Linked DNA regions of Macaca fascicularis. The protein of the gene in region 2 interacts with the protein of the main gene of each other region in a pairwise test. Links are inferred from orthologs where the notes say so. Each region holds a gene or a part of one and is shown on either strand. Other genes may lie near its edges.

What was found.
Region 1: the proteins of CEP70 (region 2) and RBM10 interact in binary tests that used the Homo sapiens proteins (3 or more experiments, as listed by UniProt). The two-hybrid records come from large-scale screens. The link is inferred for Macaca fascicularis from reciprocal best matches to the Homo sapiens genes CEP70 and RBM10.
Region 3: the proteins of CEP70 (region 2) and NOL12 interact in binary tests that used the Homo sapiens proteins (3 or more experiments, as listed by UniProt). The two-hybrid records come from large-scale screens. The link is inferred for Macaca fascicularis from reciprocal best matches to the Homo sapiens genes CEP70 and NOL12.
Region 4: the proteins of CEP70 (region 2) and SMARCE1 interact in binary tests that used the Homo sapiens proteins (3 or more experiments, as listed by UniProt). The two-hybrid records come from large-scale screens. The link is inferred for Macaca fascicularis from reciprocal best matches to the Homo sapiens genes CEP70 and SMARCE1.
Region 5: the proteins of CEP70 (region 2) and ABT1 interact in a two-hybrid assay, tested with the Homo sapiens proteins (2 studies listed by BioGRID and IntAct). The two-hybrid records come from large-scale screens. The link is inferred for Macaca fascicularis from reciprocal best matches to the Homo sapiens genes CEP70 and ABT1.
Region 6: the proteins of CEP70 (region 2) and FAM133A interact in binary tests that used the Homo sapiens proteins (3 or more experiments, as listed by UniProt). The two-hybrid records come from large-scale screens. The link is inferred for Macaca fascicularis from reciprocal best matches to the Homo sapiens genes CEP70 and FAM133A.
Region 7: the proteins of CEP70 (region 2) and YJU2 interact in a two-hybrid assay, tested with the Homo sapiens proteins (2 studies listed by BioGRID and IntAct). The two-hybrid records come from large-scale screens. The link is inferred for Macaca fascicularis from reciprocal best matches to the Homo sapiens genes CEP70 and YJU2.

What each region holds. Positions count from the first base shown.
Region 1 is NC_088395.1:47,252,601-47,257,190, reverse strand, and holds the start of RBM10 (RNA-binding protein 10), read right to left. Parts: upstream 3,124-4,590; 5' UTR 2,900-3,123; coding exon 2,830-2,899; intron 656-2,829; coding exon 514-655; intron 1-513. Other genes in the region: NDUFB11 (NADH dehydrogenase [ubiquinone] 1 beta subcomplex subunit 11, mitochondrial), read left to right, coding at 3,683-3,889. UniProt on the Homo sapiens protein: Binds to ssRNA containing the consensus sequence 5'-AGGUAA-3'. May be involved in post-transcriptional processing, most probably in mRNA splicing. Binds to RNA homopolymers, with a preference for poly(G) and poly(U) and little for poly(A).
Region 2 is NC_088376.1:41,339,210-41,343,201, reverse strand, and holds part of CEP70 (centrosomal protein of 70 kDa), read left to right. Parts: intron 1-1,283; coding exon 1,284-1,430; intron 1,431-1,600; coding exon 1,601-1,769; intron 1,770-2,258; coding exon 2,259-2,373; coding exon of another isoform or gene 2,374-2,386; exon of another isoform or gene 2,387-2,599; intron 2,600-3,992.
Region 3 is NC_088384.1:13,944,896-13,948,766, reverse strand, and holds the end of NOL12 (nucleolar protein 12), read left to right. Parts: intron 1-290; coding exon 291-433; intron 434-2,030; coding exon 2,031-2,128; intron 2,129-2,513; coding exon 2,514-2,676; 3' UTR 2,677-3,112; downstream 3,113-3,871. UniProt on the Homo sapiens protein: Multifunctional RNA binding protein that plays a role in RNA metabolism and DNA maintenance. Participates in the resolution of DNA stress and the maintenance of genome integrity by localizing to sites of DNA insults.
Region 4 is NC_088390.1:61,715,794-61,719,785, reverse strand, and holds part of SMARCE1 (SWI/SNF-related matrix-associated actin-dependent regulator of chromatin subfamily E member 1), read left to right. Parts: intron 1-3,090; coding exon 3,091-3,263; intron 3,264-3,759; coding exon 3,760-3,861; intron 3,862-3,992. UniProt on the Homo sapiens protein: Involved in transcriptional activation and repression of select genes by chromatin remodeling (alteration of DNA-nucleosome topology).
Region 5 is NC_088378.1:146,290,662-146,295,151, forward strand, and holds ABT1 (activator of basal transcription 1), read right to left. Parts: upstream 2,992-4,490; 5' UTR 2,985-2,991; coding exon 2,744-2,984; intron 2,061-2,743; coding exon 1,864-2,060; intron 1,711-1,863; coding exon 1,330-1,710; 3' UTR 818-1,329; downstream 1-817.
Region 6 is NC_088395.1:100,196,349-100,201,102, forward strand, and holds the start of FAM133A (protein FAM133A), read left to right. Parts: upstream 1-1,775; 5' UTR 1,776-2,256; intron 2,257-2,483; exon of another isoform or gene 2,484-2,739; intron 2,740-3,146; 5' UTR 3,147-3,219; intron 3,220-4,754. Other genes in the region: NAP1L3 (nucleosome assembly protein 1-like 3), read right to left, coding at 246-1,775.
Region 7 is NC_088393.1:5,001,408-5,005,399, forward strand, and holds part of YJU2 (splicing factor YJU2), read left to right. Parts: intron 1-927; coding exon 928-1,048; intron 1,049-2,139; exon of another isoform or gene 2,140-2,276; intron 2,277-3,992.

The DNA.
Region 1 (4,590 bases), on a different chromosome or scaffold from region 2:
TTTTACTCAGGATTTCTGTATTTTACCCAGTGTTCTGGCTATTCCTTGTTCATAGCAGAGCTGAAGAAATAACTATCTGAGAGTATCCATTCCAAGCAAGTATCATGCCAACTGTAGCCCATACTGTCCCTGGAATCTCCCACTATCTAACCTGACTTGTTCCCTAGTGGTACTGGGCAAATCCTGACTCTGATGGTGCCATTCCCACCCATCCCTCATACCCCAGGCTATAGCCCCAACCTCAACCTCCCACCTGTTAACTGCATAGCCTCACTGCGACACCATGAGTACTGAGAAGGATACAATCTCATGTCTCATTCATCACTGCACTCTCAGAGCCCAGCACAAGTCCTGGCTCACAACAGGTGCCAAATACCTGTCTGCTGAAAAGAAACTCCTCATCTGCTATTGCTGTTTCCTCTACCCAGAAGCCCCAACCTAGCACCTTCTTGGATCAATTCTCACATAGAGGCAAGCCTAGGCTGTTTGGGAGGCTGGGAACGGGTAACTCACCGTCTTTCATACTCCATGTCCTGATAGGGCCTTCGGGGGCTGCTGGGGCCCCTCCTCAGCCGCTGGCTCCGTTTCACTTCCCAGCCACCCCCGCTGCTGCTACCATGATCTGCCAGCCTGGGTGATGCTTCCTGCAGGGACTCTGCGGAGAATAGAGGGAAAAAAGGGGTCAAAACAGTTGGGACAGAGAAGGCCTCCTTGAGAAACCCTCGTTGTCAAGGCTCTTTGCCGCCCCTTAGCCCAGGGACATTGTCTTCTAGCTCCCAGCACTCCTGTGCATCACAGTGTGAAGGTAGCCCCTACTTGGCCTGCTCCTCCCTTTCCCCGCAAACATGAGGCTAGAGCCCACTGCCTTAAAAAACAGCAAAGACGGCCGGGCGCGGTGGCTCAAGCCTGTAATCCCAGTACTTTGGGAGGCCGAGACGGGTGGATCACTAGGTCAGAAGATCGAGACCATCCTGGCTAACACGGTGAAACCCCGTCTCTACTAAAAAATACAAAAAACTAGCCGGGCGAGGTGGCGGGCGCCTGTAGTCCCAGCTACTCAGGAGGCTGAGGCAGGAGAATGGCCCGAACCCGGGAGGCGGAGCTTGCAGTGAGCTGAGATCCGGCCACTGCACTCCAGCCTGGGTGACAGAGCGAGACTCCGTCTCAAAAAAAAAAAATAAATAAAAAAATAAAGAAAACAGCAAAGACTTCAGCAGACAAGGGGCATCTTGCAGAGAGACCTGGCGGGGCCACCCACGGTGTGATCAGGGCTTTGCCACCTAAGACAGGTAGACAAATTCAAGCCTGGGGCTGCATCCCAGGGTGGCCGTAGGGATACTCTCAGGGCTGAAAGTCTTGCCTGAGATTCAGCACATCAGGCAAGACTTCACAACAATGGGAGCCCCAGGCACCCACCAGGCTCCTTCCATGGGCCCCAAGGGACCATCTCATCCTCCCAACAAGCTGCTGGCTGTCCCCTATAAGGCAGCAAAAGACCATGAAAGGTTCTTGGGGGTGTGTATGAAGGGGCTAACTTGGCAACGAGACAGCTGCTACCTCCCTGGGCTCCTGGCCAACACAGCCTTGGCCCTCACACAGCAACTGGCTCAGCCCTGAGCCCTGTCTCCTATGTGCAGCCAGGTCCCAAGGTGATTCCCTCCCCAGGGCTCAAGCCCGTTTTCCAGAGGCAAAAGGGGCCCTTTTGGAGGCTGTTCTGAACCACCGTGCTCTTCTACTGGGATGGAGCAGCAGCCACTTCATCCAACCCTCAGGGCTGTGGTGAGAACTCAAGGAGTCCTGAGAACCCTGTGACCCAGCCAGAGGTCAGGATGAATCCCAGATCTTCAGGCTCCACCCTCTGAACAGGAATCAGGTAAAGCCAGGCAAAAATAGCACCTGCCCAACACTAGGTTGCTGCCACGCCTTTGCTCTATGCGCGTGCACATACACACACACAGACACACGCACATTCCAACTTTCTCTTCCTCCTCAAGCCACAGGGAACCCGAATTACCTGCTCCCAGGTGGGCAAGAGTTAGAATCACACCAGAGGCACTGGCGGCTGAGAGCACAAAAACCCTCAAGAGACTCTGGCAAAGGGGCCAGAGTCACACAGTAACATCCACCACAGCCAAGGGCCAGTCACAGACACGAGCCCCAAATAACTACGGGCCCACATCACAGAAGGAATCCACAGTAAGGACCACAATTACACACTAGGTCCTCTTTCCATGGATGAGCGTCACTCTCACAAACTCCCCAAAAGAAGGGGCAATGAGTCACACACACATTCCCTGCATCCCCCTCCCCACCCAGTAAGTGGGTTAGGGTCAATCACAAGACAGTCGTCCCCCAAGCCCCGCCCCATGGATAAGGATCTGAGTCACAGACACTCTCCCTCAAAGGGTAAAGACCAGAGCCACATCCTCCCTCTGATCCCCCAGGAATAAAGACCAGAACCACAGAATATTTCCCAATGGATCGATAAACACCAGAGTAACACAGAGCAGCATCCCCTCTCCTATGCACAAGTCGCAGACAACCGCTTCCCCAATGATAAACTTCGGTGTAGCCGACACAGTGATCCACAGTAGCCCACTCCCATTCGTCCCTCCCTTCCCCCAACCCGCACGCACCCATCCCATGTCCCAGTCGCGCACGCGCCTTTGCTCACACCAAAAAAAAAAAAAAAAAAAACCACCAAAAAAAAAAAAACAAAAAAAACCCCTCCCGGGTACAGACATTGCACGAACCCCTCCGTTCCGCGCATCCCACCGACCCGAAGTCCGCCCTCGCGCCTCCTCTACGTCCCCGCCCCGGGCCCCTTACCTCCGCCCCCACGACCAGCGTCGACGCTCACCTTCTCGGCCCGGGCTGTCAAGGGAGGGCTCCCAGACATCACCTCGGCCCGCCGCCACCTCCTCCAACTCTCCCAGCTCAGCCGGAGCCGGAGCGCGCAACTACCAAGTCCGAGACTGCAGGCAGATCGGGGGGAGGGGAGAAGCGCCAAGCGCGCTGCCCTCCCAAGGAAACTCACTGCCGCCTACTCCCAGCCGGCCAGTCACCAGCTCAAAATGGCGACGACGAGAAGGGAGTCGGCGCTCCGACCACCATCCACCTACTAAGGAAGCGCGCTCTGGCCGGCCCCGGCGATTGGTCACCGCCCGCCAGGGGACAGCCCTGGCCTCCTCTGATTGGCAAGCGCTGGCCACCTCCCCACACCTCCCCACACCCGTGCGAACGCTCCCCTAGTGGAGAAAAGAAGTAGCTATTGGCCAATCCGGCAGGGCCCGCTTTTTAGAAGCTTGATTTCCTTTGAAGATGAAAGACTAGCGGAAGCTCCACCTCTTTCCCCAAAGGGCGAGGGAACTCTGGGCGATTGGCTGGGAACTATATCCACCCAATGTCACCGATTTCTTCCTATCCAGGAAATGAGCAGATCCATCAATAAGAAATTTCTCAGCCTGGCCGAAAGGGGGAGAGAATGGTTGGCCCCACGAAGCCACGACAACTGGAGGCAAAGAGGGTTGCTCAACGCCCCGCCTCACTGGAAAACAAAATCAGATCTGGGACCTATATAGCATGGCGGAGGCGGAGCGATAATTGTCGCGCTCTCACCCACTGCAGCTGCGCACAGTCGCATTTCCGTCCCCGCCCCTCAGACCCTGCAGCACCATCTGTCATGGCGGCTGGGCTGTTTGGTTTGAGCGCTCGCCGTCTTTTGGCGGCAGCGGCAACGCGAGGGCTCCCGGCCGCCCGCGTCCGCTGGGAATCTAGCTTCTCCAGGACTGTGGTCGCCCCGTCCGCTGTGGCGAGAAAGCGGGCCCTGGAACCGACCACACAGTGGCAAGAGGACCCAGAACCCGAAGACCAAAACTTGTATGAGAAGGTAAGAGGCGGGGGGGGTGGGGGGGGACGGAACCCTGAAGGGGTCAATCCGGGATCGGCAGGTGGGGCGCTGTAGAGGACGTTCTTAGGCAGTAGAGGCCTGCGCGGCCGGCGAAAGCCTAGAAGACTTGGGAATTTTGCCTATCTTGTGTTCCTCCTTTATCTGTGGATATCCGCGTTCCAGGGCCAGAGGCAGGACTGGTTTTATTTTGCAGACAGAAATCACGCCTCAAGTGGACAGCGCTCAAAACGCATTAGAAGCAATATAGTAGTACAACAACGATAATACTAAACACCGATATGGTACTTGCTCGTTGCTGTCTGTGTTCTTTTTTTTTTAGAGACGAGATCTCGCTCTGTTGCCCAGGCTGGTCTCGAACTCCTGGCTCAAGCGATCCTCCCGCCTCGGCCTCCCAAGGTGCTGGGATTACAGGCAGGAGCCACCGCTCTGGGCCCCATCTGTGTTCTAAACACTTGATGTGCATTAGCTCATCTTATCCTAAAAACAAACCCCATTTCGAGGTAGGCACTATTATTATACTCATCCTACAGATAAGGAAACTGAAGCACAGAGCTGTTAAGTAGATTGCCCTAGCTCACATAACTGAATAAATGGTGGAGGTGGAACTGGTATTTGAATTTAGGGCTACCAGGTCTGCTGTGCTGTATTAATAGCAGACGCTGTGAAATCAGGCAGCACTG
Region 2 (3,992 bases):
AATATACTATTACAGTTAATATCACATGTTTCTTTTCACTTTCCATACTATGGCCCTAGACAACTTAAAATTCCTGTGGCTCACATTACATTTCTTTTGAACAGCATTGTTCTGAAGGACCAAGCACTGTGCCATACACATATGGATTGAGTATCCCTTATCCACAATGCTTGGGCCTAGAAGTGTTTTAAGAATTTTTTCAGACTTTGGAGTATTTGCAGAATATATGCCATTTGAGCATCCCTGATCCAAAAATCCGAAATTCAAAACGCTCGAATGAGCATTTCTTTTGAGTGTCATGTTGTTGCTCAAAGTTTCAGATTTTAGAGCATTTCAGATTTTTAGATTAGGGATTCTCAACCTGTAGTAGATGTTCAGTAAATATTTGTCAGTTGATCAGTTTAGAGCTCTAAACTTTCAGTAGCCTTGCCCATTGTGCACAGTTTAAAATCAATTAGGGCACCACAACTAGGCCAAGAAAACTGAGTATTATAATGTAGAATAAATTTGGGGAACCTTTCACATTGAAAACTTGCCTAGAGATACATGTTATAACATGGATAAATCTCAAAAACATTATGCTAAGTGAGAGAAGCCATTCATCAAAGACTACTTATTGTATAATTCCATTTATGCAAAATGCCCAGAATAGGCAAATCCTTAGAAATATAATGTAGTTTAGAGATCAACCCTAGGAACTGCAGGGAAGGGAAAATGGGGAAGGAGGGACTGTGACTGGGTCTGAGATTTCTTTTTGGAGTAATGGATATGTTCTGAAATTAGATAGTGCTGATGTTTGTACATGTGTGAAAATATTAAAACTACTGAATTGTATACTTAATGAGGGTAAATTTTATGGTATATGAATTACATCTCAATAAAGCTGTTATATAACATACTCAAAACCAAAATACAAAGGCAAGTTTATTCTTTGTGTATCAATAATTCAAAATAATGAAATAATATGGAACAATAATAAATAACATAAAATTACTTAGAGCACCCAGATTCAGAATAATCAGTGTATAATGTTTTCTGTAAAGCCTGTGTTTACCTGGAGAAACCTAATTTTAACTGACTTGTTCTAAATCGGTAATAGTGTTTTTATTAAACAATACTGATGGTTATATATATATAATTTAACCTGTGTAATTTTTTATTAATTTTATAACACATATATAAAACTTATAATTTTGTTATGTTCTATTATGTTACTATTGAAATTAATTTTCAATAGTATTATTTTAAATCAATAATACCATATAGTTTCTTTTGTTATAAAGGATTTGTATAAGTCCTTGAAAACACTATCTGCAGAACTGGTACCTTGGCATAATTTGAAGAAGCAGGATGAAAATGAAGGTATCAAAGTTGAAGATTTGTTGTTTATAGTAGATACTATGTTGGAAGAAGTTGAAAATAAGGAAAAGGTAATACTTACATAAATGGTCACATTCTAATGTTCTCTTATCTCAAAAATTGATAATTTGATGTGGATATTAATATTTGTTCTACTAGAGTTCTGTTTGTCTTTTAAAAGTTTTTATTTGGGATTATTTTAAGATATGAACTCTTTATTTTTTACCTCTCTTTTGGACAGGACAGCAATATGCCAAACTTTCAAACTTTGCAAGCTATTGTCTCTCACTTCCAAAAGTTATTTGATGTGCCTTCTTTAAATGGAGTCTATCCCCGAATGAATGAAGTTTATACTAGGCTTGGAGAAATGAACAATGCTGTGAGAAACCTCCAAGAACTCTTAGAATTAGGTGATGACCTAGTTTGTCATTTTTGGCCCCCATTTAAGAATTTTTAGTAAATTAACAAAAAGTAGATAATTTTTTTTTTTTTTTTTTTTTTTTTTGATACGGGGTTTCACTCTTTTTGCCCAGGCTGGAGTGCAATGGCATAATCTCGGCTCACCGCAACCTCCGCCTCCCGGGTTCAAGCGATTCTCCTGCCTCAGCCTCCCGAGTAGCTAGGATTACAGGCACGCGCCACCATGCCTGGCTAATTTTGTATTTTTAGTAGAGACGGGGTTTCTCCGTGTTGGTCAGGCTGGTCTTGAACTCCCGACCTCAGGTGATCCACCCATCTCAGCCTCGCAAAGTGCTGGGATTATAGGCGTGAGCCACCGCACCTGGCCGATAAAAAAATTTTTAAGTGAAAAAAATTGAGGATAACTGAAGCATAAAATGTTTGATGTATGTAATTTTGAAAATTCTCTGTTAAAATATCCTTTTATTTCTCTTTTGCAGATAGTTCATCTTCATTGTGTGTGCTGGTAAGCACTGTTGGAAAACTCTGTAGGCTGATTAATGAAGATGTGAATGAGCAGATTATGCAGGTATTAGGACCTGAAGACCTCCAGAGGTATTTGTTTTAAAAGTTTACAAAGTATCATCCAGAATGGCCGGGCATGGTGGCACACGCCTGTAGTCCCAGCGACTTGGGAGGCTGATGTGGGAGGATCACTTGAGCCCAGGAGTTTAAGTCCAGTCTGAGCAATGCAGTGAGACCCTGTCTCTAAACAATAAAAATAAAAATAAATATTATCCAGAATTCATGGAGGGGTGAAATTAAAGACTTTTAAAACTTATTTACCTTCCCTGTTTGGAATAGCATCTTTTCTGTGTGTATGTGACTATAGGCACACACCACCACGCCCAGCTAATTTGTGTGTGTGTGTGCGTGTGTGTGTGTGTGTGTGTGTGTGTGTGTGTGTGTGTGTATAGAGAGAGACAAGGTTGCACCATGTTGCCCAGACCAGTCTCAAACTCCTGGGCTCAAGTGATCCACCTGCCTTGGCCTCCCAAAGTGCTGGGATTACAGGTGTGAGCTACCGTGCCCAGCCTTGGAATAGCATCTTTTAAGTAACTTGACAATCTAAGATAATCTCAAACCCTTAGGGATGGAGGAAATGCCAAGTATTTTCAAGATAAAAATAGATTGTAAAGCCTATAAAGAAGGTCAGGAACTCTTCAGCATAAGCCTGTTCTCAGGGAATATTATATATGGAGAAATTCCAACTTTGTTAGCAACATCATGTAAGTTCTGATCGTATCAATAAGTCCTATTTTTAGGACACTACCATAGACCACTGAATAATCATTAATAGCATATTTATTTGATTAGAAGATAAATGCTAAGGATTTTTTTAAAAGACTAGGCATCTCTAACATAAACCTGGTATTTTTAGAAAATTATCAAAACCTTGTAGCTATAGTTAAAGCAACTTTCCCCACACCTGACCCCCAGTTTTATATTACAGCATATGTGAAGGGAAACATACAATGTATACCACATAAACCACATTTTGCAAGTTTTCCTAGAAGAACCCTTACATAATCTGACAGTTGGTGCTTTTAAAAGGAACATATATCTTATTACTGGCCTATTTCCTCCGTCCCACAGTGTTACTGACTACTGAATTTTTTTTTTTTTTTTTTTTTGAGACAGAGTCTCACTCTATTGCCCAGGCTGGAGTGCAGTGGCTCAGTCTCAGCTTACTGCAACCTCTGCCTCCCAGGTTCAAGCAATTCTCATGCCTCAGCCTCCCAAGTGGCTGGGGTTACAGGCATGCGCCACCACACCCAGCTAATTTTTGTATTTTAGTAGACATGGGGTTTCACCATGTTGGCCAGGCTGGTCTTGAACTCCTGACCTCAAGTGATCCTCCTGCTTTGGCCTCCAAAGTGTTGGGATTGCAGGCATGAGCCACCACGCCCGGCCTGATATTTTTCCTTAATGTTTAATAGGATACTGGGTATAAAAGCCAATTATTTTTAGAAAATGCTGTAAAAGCATGGTCTCTCTAAGAAGCCTTGAGCTTAATGGAAAGTTTGCCATGTTAAGAATGTTATATATTGGCCGGGTGCAGTGGCTCACGCCGGGTGCAGTGTAATCCCAGCACTTTGGGAGGCCAAGGTGGGCAGATCACAGGTCAGGAGATCGAAACCATCCTGGCTAAACACGGTGAAACCCTGTCTCTA
Region 3 (3,871 bases), on a different chromosome or scaffold from region 2:
AAGCATGAGCCGAGAACCCAGTTTTTGAGGATGGAAAGGACTAGGGGCGGAGGGGAGGGACAGCTGTAGCTGTCATAGAGGGTTTGTCTGACATGGGAACCAGCTAGAGCATGAAGGAAACAGGATCATTCACAACATGCATCCGCAGACTAGGCTCTACAGCCAGTGACCTTGTGGATGCGCTCCACATCCACAGAGTAGAGGAGGCATTGCACTCCCGGGAGGGAGGGAGGCTGGAGCCTGGTCTCTCGTTCCCCTGGCTGACGCCAGGTCTGTGTCCACCCCCACAGAGGAGGCAGATGAGCTGGACCGGTTGGTGACAGCAAAGACGGAGTCGGTGCAGTATGACCACCCCAACCACACAGTCACCGTGACCACCATCAGTGACCTGGACCTCTCAGGGGCCCGGCTGCTCGGGCTGACCCCACCTGAGGTAGGTCCCAGTCTCAGCCCTGGGAAGAAGCAGTGTGGGGGCAGACTGGCTTCTCAGGGTTGCTCAGTGCTGGCCCATGTTGTGGGTACCCCACTGCAGGGGCTCCTTCCCTTTGGACCCTTCATTCCCTGCTTCTGGGGCGCTGCAGAGGCCAGCCCCACTGCTGAGCAGCTCAGGAACTTGGGCAGGCTCCTTCACCTTGCCTGCTTCCCTTTCTCCATCAGTGAACTGGGGGTTGCTGATGGTGGCACCTGCCTTGTGGGATTGGTGTGAGGATAAAAGTTGTTAATCTGTGTGAGTCACTTGGCGCAGCGCCCAGCCCTGTTGTAAGCTTCACAAAAGGTAGCTGTTTGTTGTGATCGTTCCCATTGTGCGATTTGCAGCCCTGGCACGTCTGTGTGCACTAAGTGGGTTTTCAACCTGTAGGTGGTGAATCATGAGTAGGTTGCAACCAGCATAAAAAAAAAATAATGTAATTGAAAATATCTGAAAGTATCATGTTAAATATTATTTCATGAGACAGCTGTTTCCATTGCAGTTGTATCTGGGTTTGCCTAAGAATTTATGGACATATATGCACACAGTTATGATATAAAACATATTTCCTTGAATGGGTTATCGTGTCCTTAAGTCCTGGAGCCACTCCCCATCACATCCATACTGATCTTGGGGCTGGGCACGGTGGCTCACGCCTGTAATCCCAGCATTTTGGGAGGCCAAGGTGGGTGTATCACCTGAGGTCAGGAGTTTGAGACCAGCCTGGCCAACATAGTGAAATCCCATCTCTACTAAAAGTATACAAATTAGCCAGGGGGCCAGGTGCAGTGGCTCATGCCTGTAATCTCAGCACTTTGAGAGGCCGATGCAGGCGGATCACCTGAGGTCAGGAGTTCGAGACCAGCCTGACCAACATGGAGAAACCCCGTTTCTCCTAAAAATACAAAATTAGCTGGATGTGGTGGCACATGCCTGTAATCCTAGCTACTCGGGAGGCTGAGGCAGGAGAATAGCTTGAACCCGGGAGGCAGAGGTTGTGGTGAGCCAAGATTGCGCCATTACACTCCAGCCTGGGCAAAAAGAGCGAAACTCCGTCTCAAAAAAAAAATTAGCCAGGCGTGGTGGCGTGCGCCTGTAATCCCAGCTATTTGGGAGGCTGAGGCAGGAGAATCGCTTGAACTTAGGAGGTGGAGGTTGCAGTGAGCCAAGATCGCACCACTGCACTCCAGCCTGGGTGACAGAGCGAGACTCCATCTCAAAAAACAAAACCAAACCAAACCATACTGATCTCACACCAGTCTTTCATTTTACGCTCATTCTTCTGCAAGGTCTGATACAAAGACAAGTCTTGTCCCCATTTTGCTAGGATTTTCATTCCTGAATGTTCAAGTACGTACTGGAAGCTTCTAGGGGCAGGAGAGGGTTTGGAAACAGGCCTTCCCCTGTGTAATCCTTGCTTTAGGACAGATAGACTGTTCTTCCATCCGAGGCCTTCTTTAGTCCCCTTCCAGGCCTATGATGCACTTGCCAGAGCCATGGTGGCTCGGGGTGTCCAGCCCAGGCCCCCCGAGCTACTGCTACCTGTCTTGTGCTTCTTTAGGGAGGGTCTGGAGACGGGTCTGAGGAGGCGGCGTCATCCATGGAGAAGCCAACCAAAGCCTTGCCCAGGAAGTCCAGAGACCCCCTGCTCTCTCAGCGGTGAGTCTTGGCCTGCTGCCTTCCCGGTCCCACCCCTCCTGGCTGGCAGTAGTGACCTGGCTCTTAGGGGTGGTGTGGAGCAGGTGTAGGGCCCGGAGCAGCCCTTTGCTTTGCCTGTCCAGTGATCCTCAGCCTCTCCTCATTGCCCCATCCTGTCCCACCCACCCCTGAGAGTGTCTGACCTCCGATGCCTTTCATGCCTGGGTGAAGGGCCTGTCTCTCTGAGTTGAGTTGCTGGCAAGCACTCTGGAGGTAGAGCAGGCCAACTCTGGCATGAACTTGGTGGTCCTGGCATTTGCAACCTGTCCTGACATCCCCTCCATGAGCCAGGTGGTGAGTCACTCCACAACGCAGTCTTAAACTGAGGCTTTCTGCCCATCCCCAGGATCTCCTCTCTCACAGCCTCACTGCATGCACACAGCCGCAAAAAGGTCAAGAGGAAACATCCCCAACGGACCCAGGACTCCAAGAAGCCCCCAAGGGCCACTCGTACCAGCAAGGCCCAGCGCCGCCGTCTGACAGGCAAAGCACGGCACAGCGGGGAGTGAGACCAAGAACCAAGCAGTGCCCCAGCCTAGGCTTCGAGGACCTGTCCTTTCTCAGCTTGGCTGTCCCTGTAGCCCAGCCTGCACCTAGGTAATGACTGCACAGCTCAAGGTTGGGAAGCCAGGAGCTATCTGGCCTGGGGCCAGCTGCCTTTGCCTGGGGTTTGAATTCTAGAAGGAGCAGGCAGCGGAGAGCAGGCCTCCCCCAGGAAGAGCCTTCAGAGCCTTCAGAGCCACGCTGGGGCATCTTCCCAAATGTGCACCCCACCTGGCACTCATCAGATTTCTGGAACTCATCAGAGAGTTGTGTGCTTGTGATTTGTTTGTCCGTGATACCACGCACACGGCAGGTTTCTGGGGTGGTGGAAATGGTCGGGGCCCATGGGTCTGTCTCCAGCAGTTTGCCCTGTGGCTACAATAAAGTCCAGTTCTCCCTGTGTTTTATTTATTTATTTATTGAAACGGAGTGTCGCTCTGTGGCCCAGGCTGGAGTACAGTGGCTTGATCTCAGCTCACTGCAAGATCCACCTACCGGGTTCCACCATTCTCCTGCCTCAGCCTCCTAAGTAGGTGGGACTACAGGTGCCCACCAGCACGCCCAGCTAGTTTTTTGTATAGCTCTCCCTGTGTTAAGATACTAACCAGGGTTAAGGATCCGTGTGTCCATTGCTAGAATCCAGAGCCCACCTGCTGCTCTGAAAAGCAGGCTTCTGAGGCCAGTGGGGGAGCAGTGCCCCCCATGCCCTTCACCGAGGAGCCTCTGTGCCTGTGCCTTGTCCTGGGCCCCAGGAGTCTCCTCAGCTGACACTGAAGTGGTAGAAGCAGTCGAGTCCCAGGTCATTCCCCATCACCACACTGGGGCAGCGTCCCCAGACTTCCAGTATCTCCCAGGCAGGGCCTAACATGGAAGGATTAATTAATTCTTTTTAAAGCAATTGCAACCCAGCTCAGTGGCTCACGCCTGTAATCTCAGCACTTTGCGAGGCCGAGGCGGGCAAATCACTTAAGGTCAGGAGATCGAGACCAGCCTGGCCAACATGGTGAAACCCTGTCTCTACTAAAAATACAAAAATTAGCCGGGTGTGGTGGCACACGTGTGTAATCCCAGCTACTCGGGAGGCTGAGGTTGGAGAATCGCTTGAACCCTGGAGGTGGGGGCTGCAGTGAGCTGAGATCATGCCATTGCACTCCAGCCTGG
Region 4 (3,992 bases), on a different chromosome or scaffold from region 2:
TACATAAGAGAAAGGTGGCATCTGCATGAAGTACAGCAGCTACTGACTTCTTTAACAGAGGACTATCAAAAGATAGACATGACCAGGCGCCATGGCTCACGCCTGTAATCCCAATACTTTTAACTAAAGCAGGAGGATTGCTTGTGGCCAAGAGTTTGAGACCAGCCTGGGCAACACAGCAAGACTCTATCTCTACAGAATACTTAAAAATTAGCTGGGCATGGTGGCTTGTGCCTGTAGTCCCAGCTGCTCCAACTGAGGCTGAGGTGGGAGGATCAATTGAGCCCAGGAGTTCGAGACTGCAGTGAGCTATGATCATGCCACTGCCCTCCATCCTGGATGACAGAGCAATACCCAGTCTCAAAAAAAAAAAAAAAAGAGGGCATGTGCAATTATCTACACAAGACAATGAAGGCTTTTGTTCAATGAGAGCCTCTTCATGGGATAAATAGCTGTTCAATTAGATCATAATTAGAAAAGCCATTCCCCGAAAAAAGGAAGCAGATGACTTACATGCAAGGAAGAACAAGCCCAAATTCTTAGACCTTATTACCCCATCTGTGGTCAACACTGGGGCCATATAAATGAAAGAAGAAAATAAAAAATAACAAAAACAGATAACTTAGACAGACGTAGCACAGATATACCACATATAACCCTAAAGGTGAAAAACTCTTAAAAAGTAGAAAGATTACAGAGTTTTTAAAAAACTGTATCTTACCTAATAGTTTTAATTTCAGAAGTTTATTTCCTAAAGGAATTACTCAAAAGGAAAGAAAAGTAATTTTTTTAACTTTTTACAAAAACAACAGTTTTTAGCTATAGTATTTATGATAATGAGAATTTTAGGAACTGCTTAAGTGCAAGACAATAAGAGAGGTGCTAAACTGACATAGGAGCACCACAAAGGCCTCTAACAGGGTTCCCTCTAACAGGCTTTCCTCTGTAACAGGCTTCCCTCTGTAACAGGGTTTCCTCTGTAACAGGGTTCCCTCTGTAACGGGGTTTCCTCTGTAACAGGGTGTCCTCTGTAACAGGCTTCCCTCTGTAACGGGCTTCCCTCTGTAACGGGCTTCCCTCTGTGACGGGCTTCCCTCTGTGACGGGCTTCCCTCTGTGACGGGCTTCCCTCTGTGACAGGGTGTCCTCTGTAACAGGCTTCCCTCTGTGACAGGGTGTCCTCTGTAACAGGGTGTCCTCTGTAACAGGCTTCCTTCTGTAACGGGCTTCCCTCTGTAACGGGGTTTCCTCTGTGACGGGCTTCCCTCTGTGACGGGCTTCCCTCTGTGACAGGCTTCCCTCTGTAACAGGGTGTCCTCTGTAACAGGCTTCCCTCTGTAACAGGCTTCCCTCTGTAATGGGGTTTCCTCTGTGACGGGCTTCCCTCTGTGACGGGCTTCCCTCTGTGACGGGCTTCCCTCTGTGACGGGCTTCCCTCTGTGACAGGGTGTCCTCTGTAACAGGCTTCCCTCTGTGACAGGGTGTCCTCTGTAACAGGGTGTCCTCTGTAACAGGCTTCCTTCTGTAACGGGCTTCCCTCTGTAACGGGGTTTCCTCTGTGACGGGCTTCCCTCTGTGACGGGCTTCCCTCTGTGACAGGCTTCCCTCTGTAACAGGGTGTCCTCTGTAACAGGCTTCCCTCTGTAACAGGCTTCCCTCTGTAATGGGGTTTCCTCTGTGACGGGCTTCCCTCTGTGACGGGCTTCCCTCTGTGACGGGCTTCCCTCTGTGACAGGGTTCCCTCTGTGAAAGGGTTCCCTCTGTGACAGGCTTCCCTCTGTGACAGGGTTCCCTCTGTGACAGGGTTCCCTCTGTGACAGGCTTTCCTCTGTGACAGGGTTCCCTCTGTGACAGGGTTCCCTCTGTAACGGGCTTTCTCCTCTGTAACGGGCTTTCTCCTCTGTAACGGGGTTTCCTCTGTAATGGGGTTTCCTCTGTAACAGGGTTTCCTCTGTAACAAGGTTTGCTCAAGTATGGTTCCTCCCTGTCTGGTGGGACACTGAGGTGATTAAGTGGGTCAAAAAGGAGCATTTGTTTTGTATGTATTGCTACAGAGAAAGCTTTTTTTTTTTTTAATGAGTTAGTTTAAAGAAAAATATTAAGTAAACAATAGTACAGGCTGTTAGTAGATATATGAAAAACTATGAAGGCGATAGAGCAAAGACTGAGATTAAGGAAACACTAGATACCTATTAAAAATAAGCATATAGGGTGTGCGCAGTGGCTCACACCTGTAATCCCAGCACTTTGGGAGGCCAGGATGGGCGTATCATGTGAGGTCAGGAGTTCAAGACCGCCCTGGCCAACATGGTGAAATCCTATCTCTACTAAAAATACAGAAATTGGCTGGGCATGGTGTCATGTGCCTGTAATTCCAGCCACTTGGGAGGCTGAGGCACAAGAATCGGTTGAACCCGGGAGGTGGAGGTTGCAGTGAGCCGAGATTGGGCCACTGCACTCCAGCCTGGGTAACGGAGTGAGATTCTGTCTCAAAACAAAACAAAACAGAAGCATATAAACCAGACCCGTACAGCTGGCTAAGTGTAAACTGACAAAAATTAAATTTGGAATCAAAACATTTATTTTTCTTCTATAAAATTCCTTGAGGGCCTGGGAAACTGAATATTGTTAGAGATGATGTTTCCTCTGCTGTGATAATTTTACGAATTGGCATTTTCATAAAGTCACTGCCCAGTTCATATGTTGTTCGTTAGTTGTTAAATGCCTTAAGTCACTACCAAGAAAGTGAAACATTGGGCAGAATTTCAATTACTGCCATCACATGCAGCCTTCACATTGATTCCAAAGCCAGAAGAGACATGTTGTATCTCATTTATGTTTTAGCCAAAGCCTTCTCAGACACACATCATCACTTAAAGACTGTGAGATAAATTACTACCTTGGCCAGTGAACACATTACGTCCTCTGTATGGTTTTTATCAAGTAACTGCCCAGTGCTCCCATGACGCTGGTCAGGTCCCCTTGTTAGGCCAGCAAGGGCCATGGTTCCTTGATAATTAAGTGTTAACATGTTACACTCCTTTTTATGGTTACTGGTGACCTACTTTGCAGAACAATTTGTTCATTGCAGATTATGATGATGGCTTTTCAATGAAGCATACAGCCACCGCCCGTTTCCAGAGAAACCACCGCCTCATCAGTGAAATTCTTAGTGAGAGTGTGGTGCCAGACGTTCGGTCAGTTGTCACAACAGCTAGAATGCAGGTCCTCAAACGGCAGGTCCAGTCCTTAATGGTTCATCAGGTAAAGTCATAAAACTTTCAATAAAATGGACCTATACCACAAATCCCAGCTGACGTGATTCCTACACCATGCCTAAATGTACCTGTTAAATATGTCAGTCTAAACTGTTCCTGATTTGGAGAAGAGGTTTAAGGAAGTGGACCTTTCCCAAATGTTTAATAAGTTTGTCATTAAAAACTATAATATAGAACCTTGTAATGGAAGGTATATTTGTTAAGAAGTACATGTGAACTTAAGAATTTTGAGGCGTCCTATCAGTCTTTACTGCTCTACTAAATACTTTTTCCAAAGGAATTGCTCAGGCCTGAAACAGTATTCTTTAACATTTACCTATTGATCATAATCATTTCTTTGTGCTGCATTTTGTATTTTTTAAATCTTAGCTAGACTCATGTAATAAATGATCTAAAGTTCAAAACATTATTTGGTACACTGTTTGAAAGTATGAACCATTAAAACAGGAGATATGATTGTAAAGCCTGATCCTGTCTTGCAGCGAAAACTAGAAGCTGAACTTCTTCAAATAGAGGAACGACACCAGGAGAAGAAGAGGAAATTCCTGGAAAGCACAGATTCATTTAACAATGAACTTAAAAGGGTATCTGTTTAATATGTTAACTATACTTTTATCACCGTACCTGTTACTTTACTTTTCCTCATTCTTTTTTCCAAAATAGTATTTTTATTGAATGTTGTTCACTTTGAAACAGGGCTAACTTTACTATAAAA
Region 5 (4,490 bases), on a different chromosome or scaffold from region 2:
CAAAGGTAGACAAATCCACTCTACCCCATAAAACACCGATCATCACATTGACAGACAAAAAACAAAAACAAACAGCACAAGCAAAATACTAATCATAATCATCTACCACTTCCTGAAACAGTCTGGAAAATGATCAGAATTTTTGTCTACATGAAACTGTGTAGACTGTTTATTGTGACACCTAGGTTTTCAGTTCCTCTTAGTAGCTTACACTGATTCTTTGAAGCCTACAGGGCTCCTTTGCCTCAGCCCCACTATATACAAGTGCACCTGAGGCACACTGGTTCTCTACTAGGCTTTGCCCACCTTTACAATGGTTCCAACTCAACACTCCACCCAGGAAGCATTGTTTGCAATTGTGGGAGCACTCCAGACTCTTTCAAACTTCTTATTATTCTTACAGTTATTTTGTAGGAATGACCTGGAAAACTTGGTGAGGACTGACTCACCACTGAAGACTGTGATCATCAATCACGTCCCCCTTGAGAGGGGCTCTATGACATGCTGTGGCCCCCATTCCACCCGGTATATGCATCTACCACGATGCCTATCTTATACTAGTGGCCTGTAAAACTCTTAATACTAAGATGTGTTATTACCTATTGTCATTGTTTCCTCAAACAATGGCTTAGAAAATGCTGACTTAAGATAACTAATTGATAAACTGGGCTAAGATAATAGACAGAAATTAAATAAAAAAAAAAATCCAGGTTAAACAGTAAGGTGGGTGGCGGGGGGGCTCTAAGATCAGGAGATGAAGGTGAACACAAGGAGATGAAAGCTGGAACTTGTCCAATGACCCTCCCCAACAAAAATAAAAAGGCATAAAAAATATTTTTATTTTCTATAAATACATTAGGAAATGTATTTCTTCCCAACTCAGTCCACGCCATTAACTGTCAATTTTTTCTACATAAAAAAGATGCTAATACCACCCTCACCTGTGACTGCTAAACAGAGAAAGATTGCCGGGATTATTGCAGGCATTATCCCCCTAGTTGGAAATAAAGGCCCATTCCTGGGGGCAGAACGTGGGATTTTTAGGGGACCCTATAGACGTAGGCAGCCAAGAGTCAAACAAAACAAGCATATGCAATAGTCATAATCATGCTAGTATGACAGTATGAACTAGGTGACTCAGCCAGGCATATACAGGAGTTCGGAGTGAGGATAGTGGAAGCCCTCAAAACTTGCACGTTTGGGCCCTTAGCAGAGACACTTGGTCTGAGAAACACAGTAAAATGTTTGCCTGGATAGTCACGATCATTCTAGTATGAGGTAGACAGGAAGCAGAGCAGGGCTAGGAGCTGGAAGGGGCCACCCTGGCCCTCAGGAGTCCCTGACAAGGGAAGGTCCCTCCATGCTCTCTGAGGGTGGTGGGGCTCCAAAGATCCTGGCCAGGAGCCCTTTGTTGGAGCGGGCCTTGTCCTGGGCAGTCGCCAGGCGAGCCCGTTCACGACCCCCTGGCCGTGCTGCTTTCCGGGCCCTCAGTTCCTGCTCAGTAGGACGTTGCGCAAATGTCCAGGAGCCATCTGGGCGAGCAGGGTCCCCATCGGCCGCAAGAAAGCGTTGTCCCCGTTCCACACTTTGAAGATAGAAGTCGGTCTCACGCTTGGCCTGAGCAACCTCCGCTCTCAGGCGCTGCCTGCGCACCTGGCGCTCAAAGGCAAGGTGCTCACTGAGGTGGGACCAGGTGAAACGGTGCAAGTACTGTGGGCAGAAAATAAGAAAAGATCAGGATAGTGCAGATTAGGGAGAAAGATGAGACAGGGGACAAGACCAATGAGAAGCCATGGGTATACCTGGGCCAGAGCTGGGGAGAAGGGAGGGTGAGAGGTGTGGCAGAAAGATCTATCTCCTCACCTTGAGGTTCCAAAGATCATAACGGAAGGGGCTGCGCCTGCGGGCACCCATAGGCGTGTTGTGTAGACTGGCCGCCACGCGCTTGGCTATGCGCTTGTCACGGAACTCCACCCATCCCTCGGTGTAGTCCTTGCTGTAGGACCGCTTTTTTCCTCCCGCAGCTGCTGCTGCTTTCTTCTTGCGTCTCACGAACCGATCTGAGCGCCAAAGACAAAAAGACCCGTCAGGGACTATGCAGCACTCACTCAAAACCACTTCCCACTGCCCGCATCGTTCTTCACATCTGCCAGCGGGAGTTCCACCTGAGAGTTTTTGCCCAGGAGGGAGGGAACTGTAAATTGCACCCTTTCCTCTAGCTAACTCAATTATTTCCTTAATTGTCCACTCCTTAATCTGGCCGGCTTTGAACGCTATTTAACACCCGCGCAAGTCCCCAACCTCAATGTAAAATTGAGGGTGGAAAGAGGAAGGGCGGTTGATCAGTTTCTTGACCTAGGCCGCGATGCTAAAGGGGTATGTTCAGTTTTGTAGAAAAGCTAACGAGGCTTTTACTCTGTTGTACTCATGTAACAAACCAGTAAACAGATCCGGAAAGAGAGGTGAGCAGGGCCGGGATAAGAACACGAATAGTAACAATCCGAGAACTAAAGAACCACCAGACGCACTGCGCTACCCACTCTCCCCATATCCCCTCCGCCCACCCACCCCAGCATCCTCACAGACTGATTCACCAGCCAGGAGCCGAGCACCGCACTCCCCACCCCCAAAATCCAACAACTCGTGCCTCAGTCTTGCGCAGCGAAGCAACAGGACATCCATGCTTGCACCCCGCCAGCGAGCGACAACCTCCTCCTTTCACCGTCAGGGTCTGCATACTTACCCTCAGCCTGAAAGAAGACGCGTCCGACCTCGCCATAGGCGCTGAGAAGGTTACGGACGTGCAGAGGACGGAAGCGCGGCGGGATATGGCCCAGGTACACAATACCTGGCACTACCCGCTTATTGCGGCCACAGGCCGCTGCTTCGGATTCCTCCTGCTCCTCCTCCGCGTCTAGTGTCTGTTCTGTCCCTTTCAGCGGCTCGTGCTCCGTTGCGGCCTTCTCCGATTCCTCTGCCTCCATGTTGACTGACATGAGCGGCACGACGGCCGTAAAGTGCCTTGCCTACTGACGCAAAACGTGTGCGACGGCCTGAGACGAGGGGGCGGGGCCAAGGCGGTGATGACAAATGAAAGGATATGATTGGCGATGCAGTCGGGTCAAGGGGAAGGCCGAGGGGAGAGGGCGGAAGTGGGGTGTCAGGTGGAAAGCCAGATTTAGAGCGTGGAAGCGGGATAGGAAGCTTGTTTTAGGTTCACAGATTCCCTGTTACATCTCCAACTCAGGACAGGCAGAACCAGAAAAGGCAGATCCCCAGATACAACCTACCCTATAGAACGCCGCTAAAGGCGGGTTGATGCCGGGTTTTTAGGGAATTTTGTAGAGCAGTTTTAGGGAAGTTTCTGTGTGTTCTAGCGATCAAAATAGCATTTTATTCGAGGGCCCTGGTTGCGATTCCAGCTGAGGAATGACTCACCTTTTAAAGTTTATACATTTCATTTAAAAGATTTGAGTTTTGAAGTTTTAATTATTTCTGGAAATTTACCTTGGAATTTTGAATATTTTAAAATTTAATTTTGAAAACGGTTAATTTTGGAAATTAGATTTAATTTTTGAAAATTTAAATTGCGAACTTTCAGTTTAATATTTTACATTTGATTTTGTGAATGTCTGAAAATTTAAATGTGTGACAATTATTTGAATAATTTGTTTGGCATCTATTACACATGTGTATTGATACATTATCCATATGCATACTTACGTTGCAAATACTTGTCAGAGGCGCACACGCCTCCAATTCTGGCGACCCCCCCGGCGGTGCGCTTAGTTCTGCCCTCCCTGGGTCTGTCCTCACAGATTCCCCATCAGATCACAAACCAATTTTCCTTCTATGACCTACGTAACCACAGAACGGACAAGGCCCCGGCGGTCCTGCTCCTACCAGGCTTAGGCGAACCATCCCTAAGCCAAGCCCATAGCCGTTTTCCCCGCGCGGGCTCGAGTCCTCAATCTCTTACCGTCGCCCGAGGGCGCGACCAGCAGGGGGCGCCGTCCCCACCCTTAAGGCGTTTCAGTTCTTGCGATCCGCGCCAGCGACAAGCTGACTGCAAAGGATATTGCTGGGAACCGAGTACAAATAATCCGATTAGCTTTCTGGAAGCAGCCCGGGGCAAGTTTGAGGACCATCAGTATAAATCCGCCCTTGCTGCGGCCTGACAAAATTTCCCATCTCGCTCCAAGAGCGCAGAGTAGCCCAGAGAATGGAAGCAGGGAGTAAATGTGTCCACTATTAAAATCAGGGATGACAGTTTTTGCCAGTCCCCAAGTATATTTCTAAAGTAACAGGGCCCACACTCTTTCATGGAGTGTCTAAAAGTCTAATAATAGATTCTTCGAATTCAAATACTCCTGTTTCATTAACTTTATTGAAGAGAACTTTCTGTCAGGTGTACACTGCTCCTTTTTTGAAGAGGGGAGGGATATAAAAATCCCGTTCCCCACATTCCTCATGATCCCTCCTCAACTTGG
Region 6 (4,754 bases), on a different chromosome or scaffold from region 2:
ATAATTGACCACAGCTTACATATTTTGAAGAATATTATACTACAACAGTCTAGATAGAATAAACTGGCGCTTAGACACTTTTTAGGACAATTTTTAAAATACAGACTACCAAGAAACCACAAAAACATGACTATAAGGAATAAGAGTGTTCAGGTTACAGGTCAGGGTTTTACTTTTTTCAAGGCTGTATGAATCTGCTTCACTTCTTGAGATTTTAAGATTCTTGAAAGATCTTTCAGATTGACTTATTTTCTGTATTTCCTGTTTCCATAATGTTTGCCAAATTGATAGTAGGTACCATTGACTTCTCCAGTATAGTAATAGATTGATTTCAGGATGACATTATCATGTAAAATCTGCCCAATTTCAAAATCCTCATCCAGGATAGCATCTTCTCGTGGTTCCAGCTTCCCAATCATAGGAATCTCAGGAGGACTAAAGAAATTGAAGAATGATGCATTAGGAACCACTCTTGGCTGGATTTCAATTTCTCCAGTAGCAGTTGTGCGACTCTGAGTAGTTGTCACAGTAACATCTTTTCCTCTTCTCCAGTCTATCTTGCAGCCTTTGCAATCTTCAATTTCCCATCCCCAAGAAAAGAAGGGATCATTGTGATCTGGTTTTGACTTTATTATATATGTCTTCACCAGCACCTCATTTCTGAAGTATGGATTGGGTAGAAAATGAAATTCAAAGGTGTAACTTACAGGCTGGCCAGGTTTTGAGAACTTCAGGCTAACATCCGACAAGAACTTCAGAATGGGCTCATCATACTTCTGAATCATAGGCCCGAGCTTGTCAACATTCTTTAAAACAATCAGCCAATAGTCAGGAATGCCTTTAGGGTCTTCTCTTTTAGGCTTTCCCCTCCTAGCTCTTTTAAGATCTACACTGTCCTGAAGCCTTTCCTCAGGAACTCTTTTATGAGCCTCTCTTACTGCAGCCCTTGCCTTAGCCTCTGTTGCTTTAGGCTGTTCTTTATCATCTGCCTTTACCTGGGGGGCTTCTTTAGGATCTTCTTTTACTTCAGGGGTTGCCTCCATACAGTCTGCTTTAGAATCTGCTTTTTCTTCAGCCTTTATCTCAGGGATTTCTTTAGGAACTTCCTTTTCTTCATCTTTTACCTCAGGAATTTCTTTAGGAACTTCCTTCTCTTCAGCTTTCACCTCTGGGTTTTCTTTAGGGGTTTCTTCTTCCTCACCCTCTAAGGGAGGCATTTCACTAGGGGTGTTATCCTGCACCTCCTCATCACTGCTGAACTCCTCATCCTCTGAATTCCATTCACATTCTTCTTCTGTAGGCTCGTATTCTGCATTGATGATTTGAAACCGCCTATCATATAGAGGCTTGTTGAGTTCAGCATATTTTCTTTCAAGATCATGAATTGCTTTTAAGAACAGGGTGTCTACCTTGTCACATTCTTCTTGAATGTTTCTAAGCGCTTGCACACGATTTCTAACTGCCTGAGGCAGCCTATCCACGAAATTTGTTCCCAAGGGGGCCCGCCGCGCCCTGCTGGAAGGCTCAGGTACCCTCTTCTTTCTATATAAGCGGCTGCGGCTGCTAGTGCTGCCGCTGCTGCTGCTGCTGCCGCTGCCGCTGCTGCTGCTGCTGCTGCCGCTACTGCTGCTGCCGCTGCTGCTGCCACTAGTGCTGCTGCTAGAGCTACTGCTGTCAGATTCTTCCCCAGAATCACTAGTCGAGCTAGCCATCTCCTCTTCGGCAACCCCATGGGCGACGGGTTCCGAGACCATTTTAAAATCTGCTTCTGCCATCTTGCAAGCCTGAAAAACTCTACCGCGGAGACCGCGCGACCAGAGATGGGCAGAAAATGACTCACGGATGCTTGAGTGGCGGCGGCGGAGGCCCGGGCTGCGGAGGTGGCAGCGGCGATGGCAGCAGCGGCGCAGAGCGGAGCTGGAGCTGGGGATGCAGAGGCCGGCGCTGAGGTGGCAGCGGCAGTGGAGGCCTGGGCGACAGCGGTGGCGGCAAGGCCTCTCCCGGCTGCAGCTACACAGTGCCGAGATGTACCGCAGCCGAATGGCGCAGTATGAGACCCCGAGATCTCTTCTCGTTTTAGATCGCGAGCCCCCTCCCCTCGCAGTCAGACCTCCCGTTAATTTCGTTCCCAGTGTGCCTTTAGTTCGCTCCTCATTTGCTGGTCCACCTTAATTGACAAACCGTACGCCCAACGAACGGCCAAACGCCACTACTCCTGGCTCCGCCCACCTTCCCAGACGCTGCTCGCCGGCTGAGGTGCGACCCCCTGGAAGGTGTCCCCGAGCCCCCCAAAAAGTCTATATTTATAGTTTTATAATTAAAAGAGGAAAAAAAAGCGTAGACATGAGGTAAAAATACCAGCCATAGTTCCTAACAAGGGCAGAAGAGGCGTGTCTTCCTTCTCCCATCCGCCCATCCTGAATTCCCGTTTAGTTTGTCACGGGTCTCTTGACAAAAATCTGTAAAAGAAAAAAAAAAAAATTGAATGAAAATGGTCCAAATGGCGTCATTGGGTAGTGTGACTGTGGACGATTTAAAAACAAAACGATTTTCTCTAAATATTCTATGAGCAGTATTTTTACACTGGATAAAAAAGGGGAGAGTCGGTTATTGGCAGAGGGGGGAGGGACTAGACAGCAGGCGTATTGCATTCCACGAAGCTGATTTAATAAGTGCTGTCTGTGATGTTTGGCAAGCCTGGTTTATATCCATCTACAAGGTTTGCGAACCCATGTTGCCGTGAGTCAGTTACACCATTTTTATTATATTTCTCTTTTTAGGCTGGCATATTATATACCCCAACCTTGCTGCTAACTTGCCACGTAGCCCTTCTCAATGCTTGCAACAACCTTGTAGATAAAACAAAGAGTGTATTAAATGTTAGGTAGTATTGTTAAAAAGCAAATGATTTGCGTTATACTTTTGTGCAGCAGGTTTCAATTCCAAGAACAGTGGGATGGGAGGGGGAATTTGTGCTAATGAATGTGCATCTTCTGTCAGTGTATGCGATGTCATCTGCCACCAATTTCCTTCTAATGTTGTAAAATTCTAGCCATACTATAGTATGATTTACAAGTCCAGTAATATGTGAATAAACTTTTGCAAAATGAAGTTTAAAAACGGGTATTTGTTATTTTTATTTACAGGATTTTTTTTTTCTGCTACAGAACAACTACCTTGGTACAATAAAAAAGACGAGTATTTACTTTTCATTGAAAGGTAAGGATCATATTTAGCACATTTTAAAGAATGACAAAAATTACTCATCTCCATCTGAATAAAAGTTTACAGGATGCAGTCATTTAGAGATTTATTTTAGATAATAATCTTGATAATTCTATGGAAACAGGAAAATCCACAGAGGTAATTTGGCATACTAATGTAGACAATAGCCTACTTAACCACATTAACTATCTTAACCTGGTCATAGAATACAAGTTGTAAATTAAAATATGAAATATGATAAATTATTCATTTCAAATGAGGAACTGTATTAAAGTTAGATTAATCTTTATAGAATTTGTGCTTTGTCATGTAGTCACGTTTTTAAAAGTTATGAAATGCTTTTCTGTCTCATAAATGCATTTACTTTTATTGCATATCTCTAATTGTCAAAGTCTGTGAACATTGCAAAGATAAAACCTCAATACAGAAAATTCCAACAGTAGTAAAAACACACAATCTTAACCACCAAATGATAAGAATTACTAGCATTTTGATGCACTTCCTTCTAGAAATTTCCTTGTGCATATACATACCTGCCTATTTATGTATACTGCTTTATCTATGTGATACCATATTATGTTTTGTAGTCTTTTCATTTAATTTATCAGTTACTAATGGCTATATTTTCATGGCAAATGATCAACATCTTATTTTTAAATAAGTGCATATTCCATGGAAATAATTGCCTTAATTTATTTGAACAGATTCCTCTTATAGGGTGGCTATTTCTATACCATCTCTCCCCTTATATACATACTATTTTCCTGCTATAATAAAAGTGTCCCTGGATACCTAAAGCATATATTTCTATGCACTTCTGAAAATTGGTCATAAGATAAATTCCTAGAAATGAATGGCCTGGGAATGATCATTTCATATTATGGAATTATTATTGTATACATATTGCCAAACTCTCTGCAGAATGATTATCACAATTTACAGTTCCAACAGTGCATAAAGGTTCATTTTTTTTGTCATTCAGCTAATATATTTTTGTGCCTGTCGTATGCTGGGCAAATGTGGTAGAGAATTGTAGTATAATGGTGAATGAAACTTACTAAGTGCATATCCTTTCGATGAATAATTTTAATCAAAGCATATGTTATAGAAACAATGATTTACATCAATGGTGTTATACCATAAATATTGTTCTGAGACTCACTATTTCTTTTTAAATTATGGAGATTTTACAAAAAGTATGCTCTTATGTTTTAAACTTTGTAGCATCAGGAATTAGTATTTTAGAGTGAGTCATGAGGTAGGGATCCAGATTTTTAAAATACTTATTTTTATTAGCTAGCTAATTCTTCTAGTACCATTTATTTGGTAATCTTTCTATCTCCTGCTTACTTGAAATGCTACTTTGATCACATTAAATAAATTGCTTGGGTCTGTTTCTAAATTATTTTCTGATCCATTAGTTGCAAACAACTAATGAGTCGGTGTTAAGATAACTTTACATTTTGTGAAAATGATATGTGTTCATTGATAAAGTCAGACAATACATTGAAATACAAAGAAGAAATTAA
Region 7 (3,992 bases), on a different chromosome or scaffold from region 2:
TGGAGAATTGCTTGAATCCAGAAGGTGGAGGTTGCAGTGAGCCAAGATCGCACTACTGCACTCCAGCCTGGGCGACAGAGAAAGACTCCATCTCAAAAAAAAACACACACACACACACACAAATTAGCCAGGCATGGTGGCAGGCACCTGTAGTCCCAGCTACTCGGGAGGCTGAGGCAGGAGAATCGCTTCAACCCAGGAGACAGAGGTTGCGGTGAGCCAAGATTGCCCCACTGCACTCCAGCCTGGGCCACAGAGCGAGACTTTGTCTCAAAAATTAAATGAAATGAAAATTAATGAGGCATAGGGACACACGCCTGTGGACCCAGCTACTCAGGAAGCTGCGTGGGGAGGATCACTTGAGCCCAGGAGGTGGAAGTTGCAGTGAGCTATGATTGTGCCACTGCACCCCGCCTTGGGTGACAGAGTGAGACCTTGTGTCTTTTGTTGTTGTTTTTAGACAGAGTCTCGCTCTGTCGCCCAGGCTGGAGTGCAGTGGCGCGACCTCGGCTCACTGCAAGCTCTGCCTCCCGGGTTCCCGCCATTCTCCTGCCTCAGCCTCCCGAGTAGCTGGGACTACAGGCGCCCGCCACCGTGCCCGGCTAATTTTTTGTATTTTTAGTAGAGACGGAGTTTCACCGTGTTAGCCAGGATGGTCGCGATCTCCTGACCTCGTGATTCACCCGCCTCGGCCTCCCAAAGTGCTGGGGTTACAGGCGTGAGCCACCGCGCCCGGCCTAGACCTTGTCTCTTTAAAAAAAAAAAAAAAAAGACAGTAATCTGTGTGCCCCCACTCCCTCCCACCCCTGCTCATTGGGGACAGAAAGAGGTCTCTAGGCACCCAGGCTCCTCGCCACCCCAGCAGGCGCATCCCAGGCCCTGTTCCCCGTGCAGAGCACGTCCAGGTTCCCATCTTCCATCCCACAGAGCCCTGTTGGAGGAAGCCAGAAAGCGAAGGCTGCTGGAGGACTCCGACTCAGAGGATGAGGCTGCCCCTGCGCCCCTGCAGCCAGCCCTTCGGCCCAACCCCACCGCCATCCTGGACGAGGTGAGGGGGGCTGCCTGAGTCCCGGGGACTCCCAGGTGAACTAGGGATAACTGAAGCCAGGGGTCAGCTTGACTTTTTCTTTTGTTTGTTTGTTTGTTTGTTTGAGACAGAGTCTTGCTCTGTCACCAGGCTGGAGTGCAGTGGCACAATCTCGGTTCACTGCAACCTCCGCCTCCCAGGTTTAAGTGATTCTCCTGCCTCAGCCTCCCAAGTAGCTGGGACTACAGGCGCCCACCACCACACCCGGCTCATTTTTTGTATTTTTAGTAGAGACGGGGTTTCACCATGTTGGGCAGGATGGTCTCAATCTCTTGTCCTCGTGGTATGCCTGCCTCGGCCTTCCAAAGTGTTGGGATTTCAGGCCTGAGCCACTGTACCCAGCCAGAACTTGACTTTTTCTTAAAAGGCCAGTCTGCATCCTAACTCCTCCACTGTGTGGCTATAGCCCACAACAACCATGATCAGGTGTAAATAAGTGGGCGTTGCCTGGTGCCAATAAAAGCTTTATTTATAGGGTGGGTGCAGTGGCTCTTGCCTGTAATCCCAGCATTTTGTGAGGCCAAGGCAGGAGGATCACTTGAGGCCGGGAGTTTGAGACCAGCCTGGGCAACAAAGTGAGACCCCTTCTTTACAAAATTACAAAAATTAGTCATGGGTGGTGGTGCATGTCTGTGGTCCCAGCTACTTGAGAGACTGAGGCAGGAGGACTGCTGGAGCCCAGAAGGTCAAGGCTACAGTGAGCTGTATCAGTGTCACTGAACTCCAGCCTGAGCAAGAGCGAGACCCTGTCTAAAATAAATAAATAAAAATTAAGGCTGAGTACAGTGGCTCACGCTTATTAATCCCAGCTACTCGGGAGGCTGAGGCAGGAGAGTCGCTTGAACCTGGGAGGCGGAGGTTGCAGCGAGCCAAGATCGTGCCACTGCACTCCAGCCTGGGTGACAGAGTGAGACTCTGTCTCAAAAAAAAACTTAATTTACTAAAACCTGTGCCAGGCCTATGGGTCTGTAATTTGCCAACCCCTGTTTAAGCTGCTGAAAGAAGGGAATGTAAAGAAAGAACATGGAAGTTTATTTCTCAATCATGTAAGAGCCCTGGGCTGACACTCTAGGACTTCCGGGCAGCTCTGCTCCATGGAGCCATTCAGGGATTCAGGCTCCTTCCTTCTCCTGGAGCATGGCTTCCTGCACTATGTTCACAGCTGGCTCAGAGCACCTTCGGGGTCTGGCTGTGGGAAGGCAAAAGGTGCGTGGAGGACCACTCAGCCTCAGATGTGGCCCAGCTCAGTTCTTCTCTCACGCCATAGGCCACAGCACAGGCACAAGGCCCCATCTGGCTGCGAAGGAAACTGAGATGCGTCCTCCAGCTGGTCTGTGCCTGGCTGTGCTGCTAACTAGAACGAAGGGAGGCCAGGCGCCGTGGCTCAAAGTGCTATAATCCCAGTACTTTGGGAGGCTGAGGCAGGCAGATCATCTGACATCAGGAGTTCAAGACTGGCCTGGCCAACATGGGGAAACGCCATTTCTACTAAAAATACAAAAATTAGCCGGGCATGGTGGTGCATGCCTGTAATCCCAGTTACTCGGGAGGCTGAGGCAGGAGAATCACTTGAACCTGGGAGCACAGGTTGCAGTGAGCCGAGATTGCACCATTACACTCCAGCCTGGGTGAAAGAGTGAGACTCCATCTCAAAAAACAAAAAAAGAAGGGGGGCAGGATCTTTGGCAGATGACCAGCATTTTCCACCACAGCTGACTCATCCAAGGTGGCCTCAGCCACTCTGGTTTGTTCATTGAAGAAGGTGGTAAAAGTAGGGGCTCATAAACCAATAACACAGACACACAGAAACGATTGTTCTTTTTTTTTTTTTTTTTTTTTTTTAAACACAGAGTCTTGCTCTGTTGCCCAGGCTGGAGTGCAGTGGTGCAGTCCCAGCTCGCTACAGCCTCAACCTCCTGGGCTCAAGCAATCCTCCCACCTTAGTCTCCTGAGTAGGTGGGACCACAGGCACACATCACCATGCCTGACTAATTTTTCTTTTCTTTTTTCTTTTTTTAGACAGTTTCACTCTTGTTGCCCAGGCTGGAGTGCAGTGGTGTAATCTTGGCTCGCTGCAACCTTCGCCCCCCGGGTTCAAGCGATTCTTCTGCCTCAGCCTCCCAAGTAGCTGGGATTACAGGTGCCTGCCACCATGCCTGGCTAATTTTTGTTTTTTTTTTTTTTTTTTTTTTTTTGAGACGGAGTCTTGCTCTGTTGCCCAGGCTGGAGTGCAGTGGCGCGATCTCGGCTCACTGCAAGCTCCGCCTCCCGGGTTCACGCCATTCTCCTGCCTCAGCCTTCCGAGTAGCTGGGACTACAGGCACCCACCACTACACCCGGCTAATTTTTTTGTCTTTTTTGGTAGAGATGGGGTTTCATCATGTTAGCCAGGCTGATCTCGAATCCTGACCTCAGGTGATTCAACTGCCTCGGCCTCCCAAAGTGCTGGGATTACAGGCGTGAGCCACTGTGCCTGGCCCCTAATTTTTCAAATTGTTTTTGCAGAGATGTGGTCTGGCTGTGTTGCCCAGGCTGGTCTCCTGCTCCTGGCCTCCAGCAGTTCTCCTGCCTTGGCCTCTAAAGGCACAGGGATTACAGGCATCAGCCACCATGGCTGACCCCAAGACAGTTTTCTAAAAGATCCTTTCTTTGAAGCTATATCCCCTGATTCGAGTTCTCACACTGTGGTTCTTGCATAAACCACTCCCAGAATTCATTGTCTACTACTTCCTCTCTCTTTTTTTTTTTTAAATGAATCAACAGAGTAAAGCTACTTTGAAAGCAGTCCAACCTTTTATGATGTATTCCCTCAGTCTTGTGCCTGTACCTGATTTTATCGCAGGTGTTTTATTTGGTTTTACATGATACACCTTCATCAAGACTTTTCAAACCTTCACCCTAACTT